2 linked regions of the Caenorhabditis elegans genome follow. The protein of the gene in region 2 purifies or fractionates together with the protein of the main gene of each other region. This does not show direct contact. Each region holds a gene or a part of one and is shown on either strand. Other genes may lie near its edges.

Region 1 (6,331 bases), on a different chromosome or scaffold from region 2:
CCAGTTAGTGAGAATGAGGTGGACCTTTTCAAATACATGTTCCCAGTGGCTACTTCCGATCATAATTCCTTGTGCATCATTGGTCTCATTCAACCATTTGGATCAATTATGCCAGTTTCCGAACAACAAGCTCGTGTATTCTTTGCCAACATGGTTTCTGGAAACAATTTAATTCCTAAAAAGTCACAGATGTCTGAGGATGTTTTGAATAAAAAAGAAGCAATGGCTCAGCAGTTCGTAAAATCCAGACGTCACACTATTCAAGTCGATTATATTCCATATATGGATGAACTCGCAGAGCTTATTGGATGTCAAGTCCCACTTCTTCGAACACTATTTACTGATCCAGTTCTTGGTCTTCGCCTCTTCTTTGGTCCAAACGCAGGGTATTGCTACAGATTGGCTGGGCCACACACTTGGAACGGTGCCAGAAATGCGATTTTGACTATTGATCAACGTGTCCGAATGGCAACTACAACCAAACCGGAGCCTACCAATTACACTGTTCCACTAGTGATCTCTTCTATTATACTTTTGCTTGTTATCTATTTTGTCATGTAAATATTCCATTTCAGTGTGTAAATAAAGTTAGATTCAGGAAATCGATATATGTAATACTTGTGATCCATAGTAAAATGTCATGCTTCTATTCTTTGCACTTTCACTCATTAACTTTCATTTATTCCGAAATTAAATTTATATCACAGAGAAGTAAACGTATAAATGAGACCTTCCGGCGTCTTATAAGTTGATGCGGTAAAACGACCATTCTCAATAGTAAGTTGAAGAGTTGTTCCATTTTTCTCGAAGTAAAGATTCTCTGATTGTTTTTCGTCGTAAAGATGGATTTCCCAATTTCGAACAATACGATCTCCCTCGAGCCACTCCTGGAACATAAAAAATGTTACTTTTATTTTATTTGCAAACAGGTGTAAAACAAAGAAAAAACTAACCTTTCCGAATTCTTTCAAACTATCCGAATCTATCTCATTTGTCCCCTCCATGTAAAGTTCTGGAGCAAAAAACTTCAAAAGTCGTTTCCCGTTTACTCCATTTTTGAACTCCGTTGGCTGTTTGATAATCAACTTTTGTGTCTGAAAAATTACTAAAAAATGCCTAGAAACAGATTTAAATAACCCACATTTTGCAATGCTTCGAAATCAAAGTTATCGTCATCCAATTTAGCTTTTCCACCAATTTCAATCTGATACTCATCTCTCCCCATATTCTTTGTGAATCCAGTTGGAATTGTGAATGGAGCACTCGGATGCTCAACGACCCACTTAATCTTTTTAGGTGTTTGAGTTGTAGATAAAATAATTGAAGAAAACTTGGGCTTCATCTGGCTGCATAAGTTTTCCTAGAAATCTCTTAATATTATAATAATAGGTTTAAAACGTTTTTAGCGCTTACAAAGGCAATTTCATCAATTGTATATCTGTTCAGAATATACTCAAACTGTTTTCCAAGATGCCTCGTGATTGAAGAAGATTCATACCGTCTTGTTGATGGATCTTCTGGAAAATATTGAAACTCACTAAAAATGTGTTGCGATACAAGATTTAGTTTAAAGCCACCAGGTCTGTTTTTTTTTAATTTTTAGAATAAAATCGACTTAAAACGGAAAGGATAAATCTTAATTAAAGCGATGAGTCTTGTCGCATAAAATACTTTTTTGAGTGTGCTCTTTCAATTCAAAATTTGAGTTACTTTCTAAGTTTTCTGATTTTGTTCTCAGTTGTTTTTTTTAAGTTTCCAACTTTTTGGTATAATGTTTGGAAAGCTTAATAAATACACAGACAAATGTGAAATACTCACGCTCAAAAAACGGCTTCACCAACTTATAAATCTCTTCTTCTCTTAAATTTGCAGATCTATTCATATAAATATAACTTTCCCATTGCCTAGATCCATCGATAATCACTTTGAAGATTCCATACTCTTCAGGCCTCTGAAAAAATGTAATTGTAGTTTATTGAAAACTTTATGTTAATATGTATTACCCTAAAATACTGAATATGGATCGAATTTTCTGCAACAACTGTTGCACAAAACAAAAGGAATGTTAGGATAATCATATCAATCGAATCCGGAAAAATGAAATAATTCAGATCATCAAATAGATATCCGGCATGATGGCCACAACATGAAGAAAATCTCGATATCTCGGCGTCTCTGCAACTTCTGTGATGTATCCGTCAGTTCATTTTCTGCATCGAGAACAATTGTCGAATTGGAAAAGAGTGTGCATCTCGGGCAAGCACATGTTCCAGCTATACACATGCGATTGATCGATGCCCGAAAAATTGGAAAATTATTAAGAAAAAACGGCATGGCTAAAATATGCTTGAATATGCATAATTAACGTCACATTCATATATTCTTCGATTCATGTTTTTTCTTAATTAAATTTTAGAGTAACACCTGGTTTTCACGCTTTTGGGATTCCGGTATTCTTTTGATCTTTGGATTAATCTTTTAGATTCACAAGTTTGATCTATCGAAAAATGTAATGAATTTCCGGGAACTCCAAAAAGCACAAAAGTGTGTCCTTTTTCCGATTCAGAACCCCAATATTATAATTTTACATTACGAAAATCACATATTTTGTGACTAAGAGTCCATTCTATATTCCTTATATTCTCGAGATCACGCTTTTATGAAACATGATCGTCTGGTTTCCCATCTGTGGTTTGTGCCACGTTGCTTAGAACCAATTGTGCCATGACAACTGGAGCAGTATAAAAGAATAATGGCAAAAGTGGAAAATTCAGAAGCTCCATATTTTGACAAACGTCTTTATCTTCTACATCCAAACCAACAATGAGTAAGTTTTTCTTTGTTTTTTTCTGAATTTCCTTAGAATGTTTCCGTGCTTATGTACATTGAAAATTTTGACATTTCAGCCAAAGCTGAGTTCCAAAAAATCCACGATGAGATGAAGGCATTGAAAGCCGCCGGAAAGCAAGACGAGTTTGCTAAGAAGTTTGTTACCAAAGATGCCATCTTCATGGGTCCACTCCACGAGCCAGCCAATGTGAATGAAGCTGCCAAGTTTGCAAAAAGCGAGATGATGGCTGCCGTCTCAAAGGGAGAGTTCAATATCACTATTGACGAGATCACTCCAATCGGGGACGTCGTCATCGAGCGTTGCACCATCCACGCCAAGGTTGCAAGCGGGGACAAGACTGGATGGTCCCTCTGTGTCTGGGTCAAGGATGGAGGAGCATGGAAGATCCGTAACTCGTGCACCACGTTCAAGGTTGTCCCATCGGCATAAATTATCAAATTTTATTTGATTTGCTTTATTTCAACAGTTGTGAAATAAACCCATGTTAATTCAAAAGTCCACTTGATTTTTTTATTATTTTGTTTTGAAAATTCAGGAGATTTTGCACCGATTTTAAAAATTTAGCTATAAAAATTTTGATAAGTTATTAGTTCAGTATCAAGCATATATTATCCTCTTTGAACAAGTTTACTGGGAGTTTCGCGAGGATCTTCCTAGAGTCTAGAAATAATTTTTGTAAAGTTGAAAGTTCAAAAACCACTATATATAATGTTTTCAAGAGCCTAGTTTTTCATGGCACTTCCTTTGGGAAACTTCTTCTTCTGGTTCAGAAGCTCAAGTCACATAAACTACAAATGATACACTCTCCCTTGTGTGCTCAAAAGTTCAACTTCAAGCCCTATATTCTCATGGTCACATTTTTCGAAAACTTGATCAGTCGGCTTCTTCACTATGGTTTCTGCTCGTTGCTAAGCTTCAATTAAAACCATGGCAACGAGAGGAGTATAAAAGAACGGCTGAATGTATTGAAAACTTCAGTAGCTGCAAACAGGAGACCTTTGTCTTCACATCTACTGCTCTCCCAACTAGCCATGTGTAAGTTAAAGAATTAGTTTTGAAACTTTATCAAATGTTTCTCTTTCAGCAAAGGCCGAGTTCCAAAAGTTCCACGATGAGATGAAGGCATTGAAGAACGCCGGAAAGCACGATGAGTTCGCCAAGAAGTTCGCTGCCAAGGATGCCGTCTTCATCGGACCACTCCACGATCCATGCACCGCTGATGAGGCCGCCAAGTTGGCTCAAAGTGACAAGATGGCTGCTCTCGTCAAGGCCGATTTTGACGTCAAGATTGACGAAGTCACTCAAATCGGAGATGTCGTCGTCGAGCGCTGCTCCATCAGCGCCAAGTTGCCAACTGGCGACAAGAACGGATGGTCACTCACCGTCTGGGTCAAGGAAGGAGGAGCATGGAAGATCCGTAACTCGTGCATCACCTTCAAGGCTCCAATCCCACAATAAATCATGTATTCATTGATTTTATTTATTTCTACAGTTGTGAAATAAAAACCGTGTTAATCTGAAATTTGTTGTGTTAATTGTAGTGGCTTCAGAATGATAACCAGTTTTCAGAAAAAAGAACAAAAGTTGGATATAATTTAGGCTGCTTTAACTCAATGTTCTTTCAGGCCTTAACGTCTACTAGAAATCATAGTTGAAAAGTTCTAGAAACCAACAAATTTGCTCCAAAATATGGGAAAAAAATCTAACACGCTAATTTCTGTTTACGGTCTCAAAATAAATGTCGTTTTCCTTTTCTACAAGTTGGACTAAAAATATATAATTGTGGCTTTCAGAAAAAAATTAATTTATGTTTTCAACAATTTCAGTAATAAACACCTGGAAGTAGCTCAACAACATTTTCAGCTGGCTTTTCAAATATAATTCCCAGGCTTCCAGATGAAATAGATTCTAAATTTCAGAGCACAATTATGTATCCAATTAACAGCGGAAAATTGAATTTGAACCGGCTTTTGATAAGTCAGGCACTACTTTCGCGATAGGATGAATCAAGCAACTTCAACATGACCGCACTTCTACAACAAGAAAGGAAACTCTATAACGTAAGAGTTCTATGATCAAAGGTTACAATGAACTTCCAATAAACCCGTGGAATAACCTTTGCGACCATTGCGTGGAAGGTCATATCAGATGTCTATATAAGGAGGAGATTGTGGAAGAAACACCAGTTCAGATTTAACTCAAATGAACTCTCTTTGCTTTGGAGATCGTCTGATGTTGTGTCAATAAAGTTTTTTATTAATAATGATGTGTAAGAGCGATGCCACTGAACCGCATTCGCGACAACTACATATGCTATATATCAGATTTTGGAGCCACTCGAGAAAAGTAATCAAGCTGCATTGCGCTCTTTGTCAAAATTTCAGAAATATTTCTTACTGCTGAAATGTGCATTTAATGTTACACTTTTTCGTAAAATTCGTTTAAAAAGTCTATAACCTAGGGATTGAAGTACAAGTTTTATGTAGTTGTACTTTGCCCGTGTTGATGTTGATCACAAATATCTTACTCACGCGATATGCTTCCAAGAAATATGTGATTTCTGAAAAAAAGAAGCATGAAACCATGGTTTCATGCTTCTTTTTTAGTGGTTAACCACTATAAACACATTCATTCGCACGAAGAAACAAAAATATGTTTTGCAAGTTTTGTTCGAAGAGGCAGAAACCACATGAATATTGGGTTTGCAACTTTCGGTTAGAACAAGGCAGATACATCTTCCAACGTAGATACCTCCCTCGTGCTTGCTTGCTTACATGCCTACCGAATAAACTTTAGTTCTCGGTGGGCGGAACAAGCTGGCATTTGTATGCTTACGTGAACATGAAAACAGATAGAGGGGAAACCGGAAAAATTGGAGAACCATGCAGTCACAGTGTCTTTCACAATTAGCACTTGCTAGTATTTTTCACCGTATACTTTGAAAGATTTTCCAAAAATTTTACTTCAGGTTTATATTAAAATTAACCACAGAAAGTTTATTACATGAGAGAAAAATCTGGGAACGAAGTGAAGTTTCCTCCAACAACCAATGCATCGGCTTGAATATTTTTCTCTCCTTGAGCTCCGGAAATGTCTTGAATAATACGATAATGGCAAGAACTGAAAGAATTAATTTTAATTATTACCTCAACATCGGGAACTTACTTCTCAGTCTTACATAACGTATTAACAGTTAAGACGAGTTCAACTTGTTGCGCCTTTTTGTGACAATCATGAGTTATATATGCAACTGGTTTATGTCCATCAGAAAAGGATTCGTCACCATCCATGGCTCCTTCCATTCTAAAGCTGAAGTTTCCCGGTTTTGGGTGGTAAAATTGTGGACGAGTGATCTGTTCCATTCCGGGCCTGAAACACCATGGTTTTCTAAGAAAGGTATGTTGAAACTTACATAGTATCATCTTCCCACCACTCAATGAGCAAATTGTACGTATCACGAGTTTTGTCATTGCAATAGAC
Region 2 (6,621 bases):
AGGACCACCTAGAAGAAGTCGTACATTAGGACCAAGCAACCGCACTTTTGATGACGGTGTTCACTCGAGTAGAAAACATTAAGCAATTGAAAATGACGGATTTGTTACGCCCCTCTTCAACTTATTCCTGATTCCATCTTTTATTTTAGGATACTTTGCAATTTGATTTGGGGAATGTTTGTAGAAAAGCATACACATAAATAAAGAGCTTCGGCAATTGGAAAGGAAGTTTAGCCTTCGAAAGTGAAAATATTGTCCAATTTTATTATGTTTTTTTAATTAAAATTGTACAACTTAGATTATATACTATGAAGAATATCATGCTTTGCCAAGATTGAACTAATTGAGTAAATCAAATGTGCACTCTGAATTAGTATAGTTGACAGCATCAGATCTTCTGCATATACACATTTGAGGTGTCAGTCAAATGTGTAATAATTTTTTTTGAAACTTCGTTTTCTTTATTCTTTTTCTTTTTCTTTTTTTCAAAATTTATTTCCCAATTGTCGAGCCAACAATCAAATTATGCCACAATCTCTGAGCATCAGCTGACAATTAATCATTTTGTGGTCGCTCTTGACACATCTTCCCCGCCGAAATATGTTTCTTCATTCATTGTATAACTTATAACAGGTGTCTTATTCTATTGCATTCCAACAACATTAGAAATGTAAAACCTAGTTTGATTAATGACTTGATGCTCCCCTCATCAATCAAGAAGAGAGATTACCAATAAGCTGCCACCATGCCATACACCAATTAATTCATTCTGTTCTTTTCCAGGGAGGAGCCATCTTCATGTGTATTCGGTTTTTTCAAAGCCAGCGACAACGTGGAGAATACGAATTGGAACATCGATTCGAAAGGGGTCCGTCTGGTCGCGTGCCGGTCGCTCAGGCAACCCATCAAAAAATCAACAAGAATCCCATCACGTAACGACTATGAGCCGATTGGCGAGTGTGTAGATGTTATTGAGACTGAGAGAACGGGTTTGGATGGATCGGTTCCTTCATTGGTTTCAGGTACTTTTGAAGTGATAGTTTAAATGTGGGAACAGAACAAATAAGCGTATAAACAAACAAATAATCCAAGTCTGAGAGTGAGAAGAAACGCAAAGTAACACTTATGAATAATAAGAAAGTCATTAGGAAACAATTTTCTCAGAACACAACATTCGTGTAATTCTAAAACACTGTGATATACTGTTTAACTAGGTTCGAGCGGGGAAACTGTGACCTACTGAACAAAACTTTCTAACTTCTTCCAACATTCATTTCAGGACCTTCCACATTTTTACATTTTCCTGCATCACCTGCCCCAACATATTCCTTTCGGGAAGATGATTGTCAGACCGATATTGAAATATCTGAAGATGACGATGATCCAACAATAACCCTATCCAATTGGCGTCATTCATCTCCAACTCTTTCAATTTGTACTCCAATTCTTACTACTCGTCGATCGACTTCTTATTCATCAATACCAACCATCGATCGTACGATTAGCGAAGACTCGATGCTGGTGATTAAACGTTTGTAGTTTTATTTCTTTAAGACAATTTATTTATTCAAAAACTCTTCATTCATTACGGGTAGATAAATTTTCTAGTTTTTCCATTCTATCAACATAGACCCAATGCTTCTTTCCTTTTCTTTTTACCGTACGATTTCCAAAACATTCTGCCAATTTGTCATTTGCTATATATTTCCTCCATAAATGTTTCCCTTTTTTCCTTCATCCCAATCCTTTTTTTTCTGGTAATAATAAATTCCTTTTCTGGGCAAAAAGCAACAAAATGTGAGCCAAAAAAGGCGACTGATGATAGATGGTGATGATTTGAATGTGACTGGAAGGAGGAGAAGAAGACGTCGAAAAAAGCGGCAAGCTAAGAAGAGTGATGGTGTACATGGGACGATGTGGAACAACTAATCCAGGAATGAAATGATAGTCAACCACTGACATGTTATTCACTTGAAAAAATAGTCCCTTAAAGGGAAATGATATGGTGAAGTTTAATAAAATTCCCCAGAATACTCCACTTTCAAAAAGTTTCAGGAAGTCTTATTGGATAATTCAAAATTCCTTCATGGCAAAGTTTTTATATATATTTGTAATGGATTGTGCAAACATGAATATTAACAGTTTTATTTATTTTGTTATCATTTTGTCATAGCCTAGGTCAATCTCGGTAGACGATAGGTTTTCAAAATAATCAAACAAATGCATCTGATTGTTTAACTTTTTGTACGTTTTTCATATACTCTGATGATTCAGATCAATTTGATCTTTTTAGAAGAATGTTCAAAATTTCCACACTTCGAAATCCTGTTTTCACAATTCATTTCATCCATTTTTATGAGTTGGAACGATAAGAAAAGAATCTTAACGATGAAAGTGTCAACTGTTGTTACTGACTCATTCACTTGTTGTGACGGAAACTGATCCGAAGGTCGGAAAATTTTCAAGAATAACACAAAGTTTGTAGAGTATAAAAAGAGCTGAAGAATCTGTAAGGCCTCAGCCTTTGAAACGTTATTCATTTAACTCACAGAACGTATATTTTATATCTGATGTTTAAATTTTTTATTATGCGTTGTAATATTCTGATAATAAGACCGTTTTTTTTTCTAGTCCTAAAAATTATTAGTCGCCTTCAAGTTCGCCTTCAAATTGATTGTTTTAAAACCTGTTTCAATCTTGAGCACACAATCTCGTCTTTTGTGAATTAGAAATAATAATTCATCAAAAATATAGAAGGTGTTTTTGATCAGTTAAAAAAATTCAAAAAAGAAAATTTCCGCTCTATTGATTTCTTACTTTCCATCACAACATAATTCAATTAAGATAGGGACTATAAAAGTTTGCTTGGCCACAAAATGGCATAAATCGGTTTCAGATAAGACACATTCGATTCACCTCTTTTCTTATTTACTAAACTCTTATTAGCGGTAAAGCTAACTACACATACACGTAATTTTTTTGAGGCATAATTATGTATTATCAGTAATTTTTGGAACTCTAAAGTACTCTAATTTATCAATTAAATTATCTTTCCAACTAAAAAACGACATATTAAAAATCGACTAAACATCCTGTAAACTTCACATCTATCAGTAAAAAAAGCTACGCGCCTCAAAACACGACCTTCTCAATCCCATCATTGTGAACTTTCATAGTGTTCTCACATTGATCTTAAGAACAAATAAACTTCCTGATTGTTCCATTTTCAATACTTCTCCAAATGACATTCTTTGAACAGTCTAAGGAAACGAATCCTCATTTTCTAGTTCCGTGTTCCAACTCTGTAGGATTTTTTGTATAACTCTGATAACAAGAAGGATATTTTCTCTCACTCTAGCCAACAAACAAATGATAAAAACAAAGTGATTGATTGCAAAGTGGGCTGGGCGTTTAGTTTAACCAGCGGAGGTGCTTACCCTATTTTTTTCATTCGAAGGCAGTATCTTCTGGCTGACGACACTATTTATTGTTGTTCCAAGAGAAAGGTTTCATCACTTTAAGATTTTGTGCTTTTTCTTTCAATTGTTCTTCTGAATTTCGTGTCAATTCACAAAACTTTTTTCATTCTTGAAAATTAAATAAAATTTCAGAAAATGAACCGCTTCATTCTTTCCGCTTTCCTCCTTGTTGCCATCTTTGCCATATCCGATGCTGCCGTTGCTCAACAGCAGGTTAAGGTTTGTTGTAACTCCTATTTGAAAAATAACAAAAAATCATTTTCAGGACGGAGAAAAAGTTGAAATCGATGCTTTCAAGGGAGCCAAGGCAATCAAGAGAACCGTTGCCGGTGGAGATCAAATCTTCCACCTTGACGGAGATAACAAGGGATCATTTGTTGATGCTAAGGGAAAGAAGATTGAGTCAACCAATTATGAAGCTAATAACGGAATCCTTATCATTAAGAAGTTCACCAAGGCCGATGTTGGAACCTACTCCGAGCACCCAGCTGTAAGTTTTCAGTGGGAGAAATAATTAGAAATGTTTTATTTCAGAAAAACACCGAAACCAAGCACGCTGATGGATCCATCTCCGCTGTTCCAGGACTCACTCTTGATATCTCCCTGCAATAAACAAATTTCATTCGGAATGTGTTCTAATAATTTCTCTAAATAAAATTTTTAAAACAATTTCGTGCAAACTTTGCAAAAATAAACAAAAATGTGAGTCAGAACAGAAATAGGCGTGACCTCTATTCAGTCAACAGGTGACCAATAAATCAAGTCTCATTCGTCACTATTTAATGGGTTCTAGAGATGTTTTCTTTCTTCATTCTTTTTTCTCTCAAAATCATCTGAGAAAACTTTGTTTCAGGAGCTTTTTGAATTGTTTTCAATAAAAGCTTTCCTTAAATTTTTTTTATCATTTTCAGAATGAGCCGGTTTTTGATTTCTTCGTTTATACTGATTGCCTTTGTTCTTCAGTTTGGAGAAGGATCAATTGCAGTTCAAGAAGTTAAGGTTTGTAAAGTTTTTTATCTGACAATAGTTTAAAAACTGTTGTTCATGCTTCTACAGGAAATTTTAAATGTATTTCTCAAAACTACTCGAAACTTCAAAAGTTTTCTTATTTTGAAATACCAAGTAGTATTTTACAAATTCCATTTTAGGATGGCGAAAAAGTGCAAATTGAACTTTTCAAAGGAGCCAAGGCAATCCAGAGATCCGTTGACGCTGGCGAACAGATTTTCCATTTCGAAGGAGAAAACAAAGGAGTGTTTGTGGATGCTAATGGAAAAGCTATTGACTCGTCAAATTATGAAGAGAATAACGGACATTTGGTCATCAAAAAGTTCACAAAAGCTGATGTTGGATCATATTCTGAATATCCAACGGTATTGAATTCCTGAAATTCCCGAATTGAAAAAGTATTAATTTCAGAAAATTATCAAAACGAAAACGGATCATGGATTTTCTGGAGTTGCCGCGCCAGTTCTCAAACTTTCTCTTCAATAACTTTTAAAAACTGTTTCAATAAATTCTTTTAAATAACAATAAATTGTTTGCAATATTTCGTAAAAACCTGTTTGAAGGAATTATTTAACCATTATTTGGAAAAGAAATTTGAATGTAGTAACTGTTTCACGCCCACAAAAAGTTCTGTTAAAATATCTCCAGAGCAAATTCCGCACTGATCTGTTAAATATTTTCTGTAACACTATTTCTATTTTTACTATTTTTTTCGGCTATTTAAAATTAAACCGCAAGACAAATAGGGAAATTAGTGTGATTTTTAATTCCAATAAGGCGAATCTTATAGTAAGTTTTTTTCTTATTCGAAAGTACTACTTTACTGATAAGAAAATGAAAAATCATTCAACTTGCATCGATCATTTTCCTCGTTTCACCTGAAAATATGACATGAATATAGAGATAAATATGTCAATTTAGCTACAGTTTTACCAATATTCATTGAACTTCACATCATAATTTCTCAATATAAAACAGGAAATTCAGAAACTCATCAATTTTTTCATTTTCAGAATGGTTGCTGATGGTAAGAGGAAACGGCAGTTTCATTCAAGAACAAATGCACTAGAAGTAAGCGTTCTTTTAGTATTAAATGTTTCATCAATTTCCTAAATTTAAGTTTTAAAAATTCGATGATGTCCTACTCCCTAGTGTTTTTAATCTGTTTCAAATTCTTGCTATAATTGAATCCGTTTTCAGGTATTGGATGGTATTGACCTTTCTGGTAAAACATTTGCAATTACTGGAACAACATCTGGGATCGGAGTTGAGACTGCTAAAGCATTGATTTTAAAAGGAGCTCACGTTGTAATGATAAACAGGAATTATACAGCATCTGAAGCATCGAAGAAATCTCTCCTAATTGAAACTCCAAATGCTCAAATTGATATTGTTCAATGTGATTTGAATTCACTATCATCTGTGAAGAAGGCAGCAGATGAATACTTAGAACAGAAATGGTAAGCGATAAAGTTGATACATTTAAAAACTTAAAATGATCTAAAGAGTTCCGAAAAACCGAAGTTAGAAATGGAGAAATATTTTGGTGTCTCTATATTCAAATTTTCTCTGAGACAAGACGGGTTTTAATCAGAGATCTAAAATTTTAGTGAAATTTTGAAAACCCATGTTAAGTTATTTCCGTTTTAAACTAATATCCTCCAAACTCATCACTTAAATATTGTATTTTATTAATCCTGCCTCCCTTATCTTTGATCTATTCTTAGGCCACTCCATGGATTAATTTTGAATGCTGGAGTTTTTGGTCCAAGTGAAAAAACAACATCCGATGGATTTGAAGCTCATTTTGGAATCAATCATCTTGCTCATTTTATTGTATGATTTTTTACAAAAAAAACCCGATCTTAACTGAATTATTCTTGCAGTTAATTAAGGAGCTTCTGCCAGTTCTTCGAGAATCAGCACCATCAAGAATTGTAATAGTTACATCAATGCTCAGCAAGCATACATGCGTCAAACCTGATTCCAGAATTGTGGAAAAGCTTGACACACTTTGTCCAAAAGAAGCAACTCAATGGTATTTCCGCCTGTATGCAAAATCAAAAATGTGTAACATTCTAACCGCATTCAAATTGCATCGAGATGAATTTAAAAATAGAATAAGTGTTTATGC

Evidence for each region. The genes of interacting proteins can lie anywhere in the genome.
Region 1: the proteins of E04F6.9 (region 2) and R102.2 fractionate together in Caenorhabditis elegans (co-fractionation; one large-scale study listed by BioGRID). This does not show direct contact.

What each region holds. Positions count from the first base shown.
Region 1 is NC_003282.8:10,683,766-10,690,096, forward strand, and holds R102.2 (DUF4440 domain-containing protein), read left to right. Parts: upstream 1-3,841; 5' UTR 3,842-3,882; coding exon 3,883-3,886; intron 3,887-3,935; coding exon 3,936-4,309; 3' UTR 4,310-4,370; downstream 4,371-6,331. Other genes in the region: fmo-2 (Flavin-containing monooxygenase), read left to right, coding at 1-561; K08C7.6 (GLPGLI family protein), read right to left, coding at 702-887, 954-1,094, 1,142-1,360, 1,414-1,517, 1,819-1,951, 2,004-2,078; R102.1 (DUF4440 domain-containing protein), read left to right, coding at 2,824-2,827, 2,907-3,280; R102.8 (TransThyretin-Related family domain), read right to left, coding at 5,851-5,971, 6,017-6,220, 6,264-6,331.
Region 2 is NC_003280.10:7,209,150-7,215,770, reverse strand, and holds E04F6.9 (Periplasmic protein), read left to right. Parts: upstream 1-3,611; 5' UTR 3,612-3,614; coding exon 3,615-3,698; intron 3,699-3,744; coding exon 3,745-3,969; intron 3,970-4,013; coding exon 4,014-4,091; 3' UTR 4,092-4,146; downstream 4,147-6,621. Other genes in the region: E04F6.10 (uncharacterized protein), read left to right, coding at 784-936; E04F6.8 (Cuticle protein), read left to right, coding at 4,392-4,478, 4,628-4,852, 4,899-4,973; E04F6.15 (DeHydrogenases, Short chain), read left to right, coding at 5,502-5,558, 5,688-5,947, 6,215-6,323, 6,374-6,621.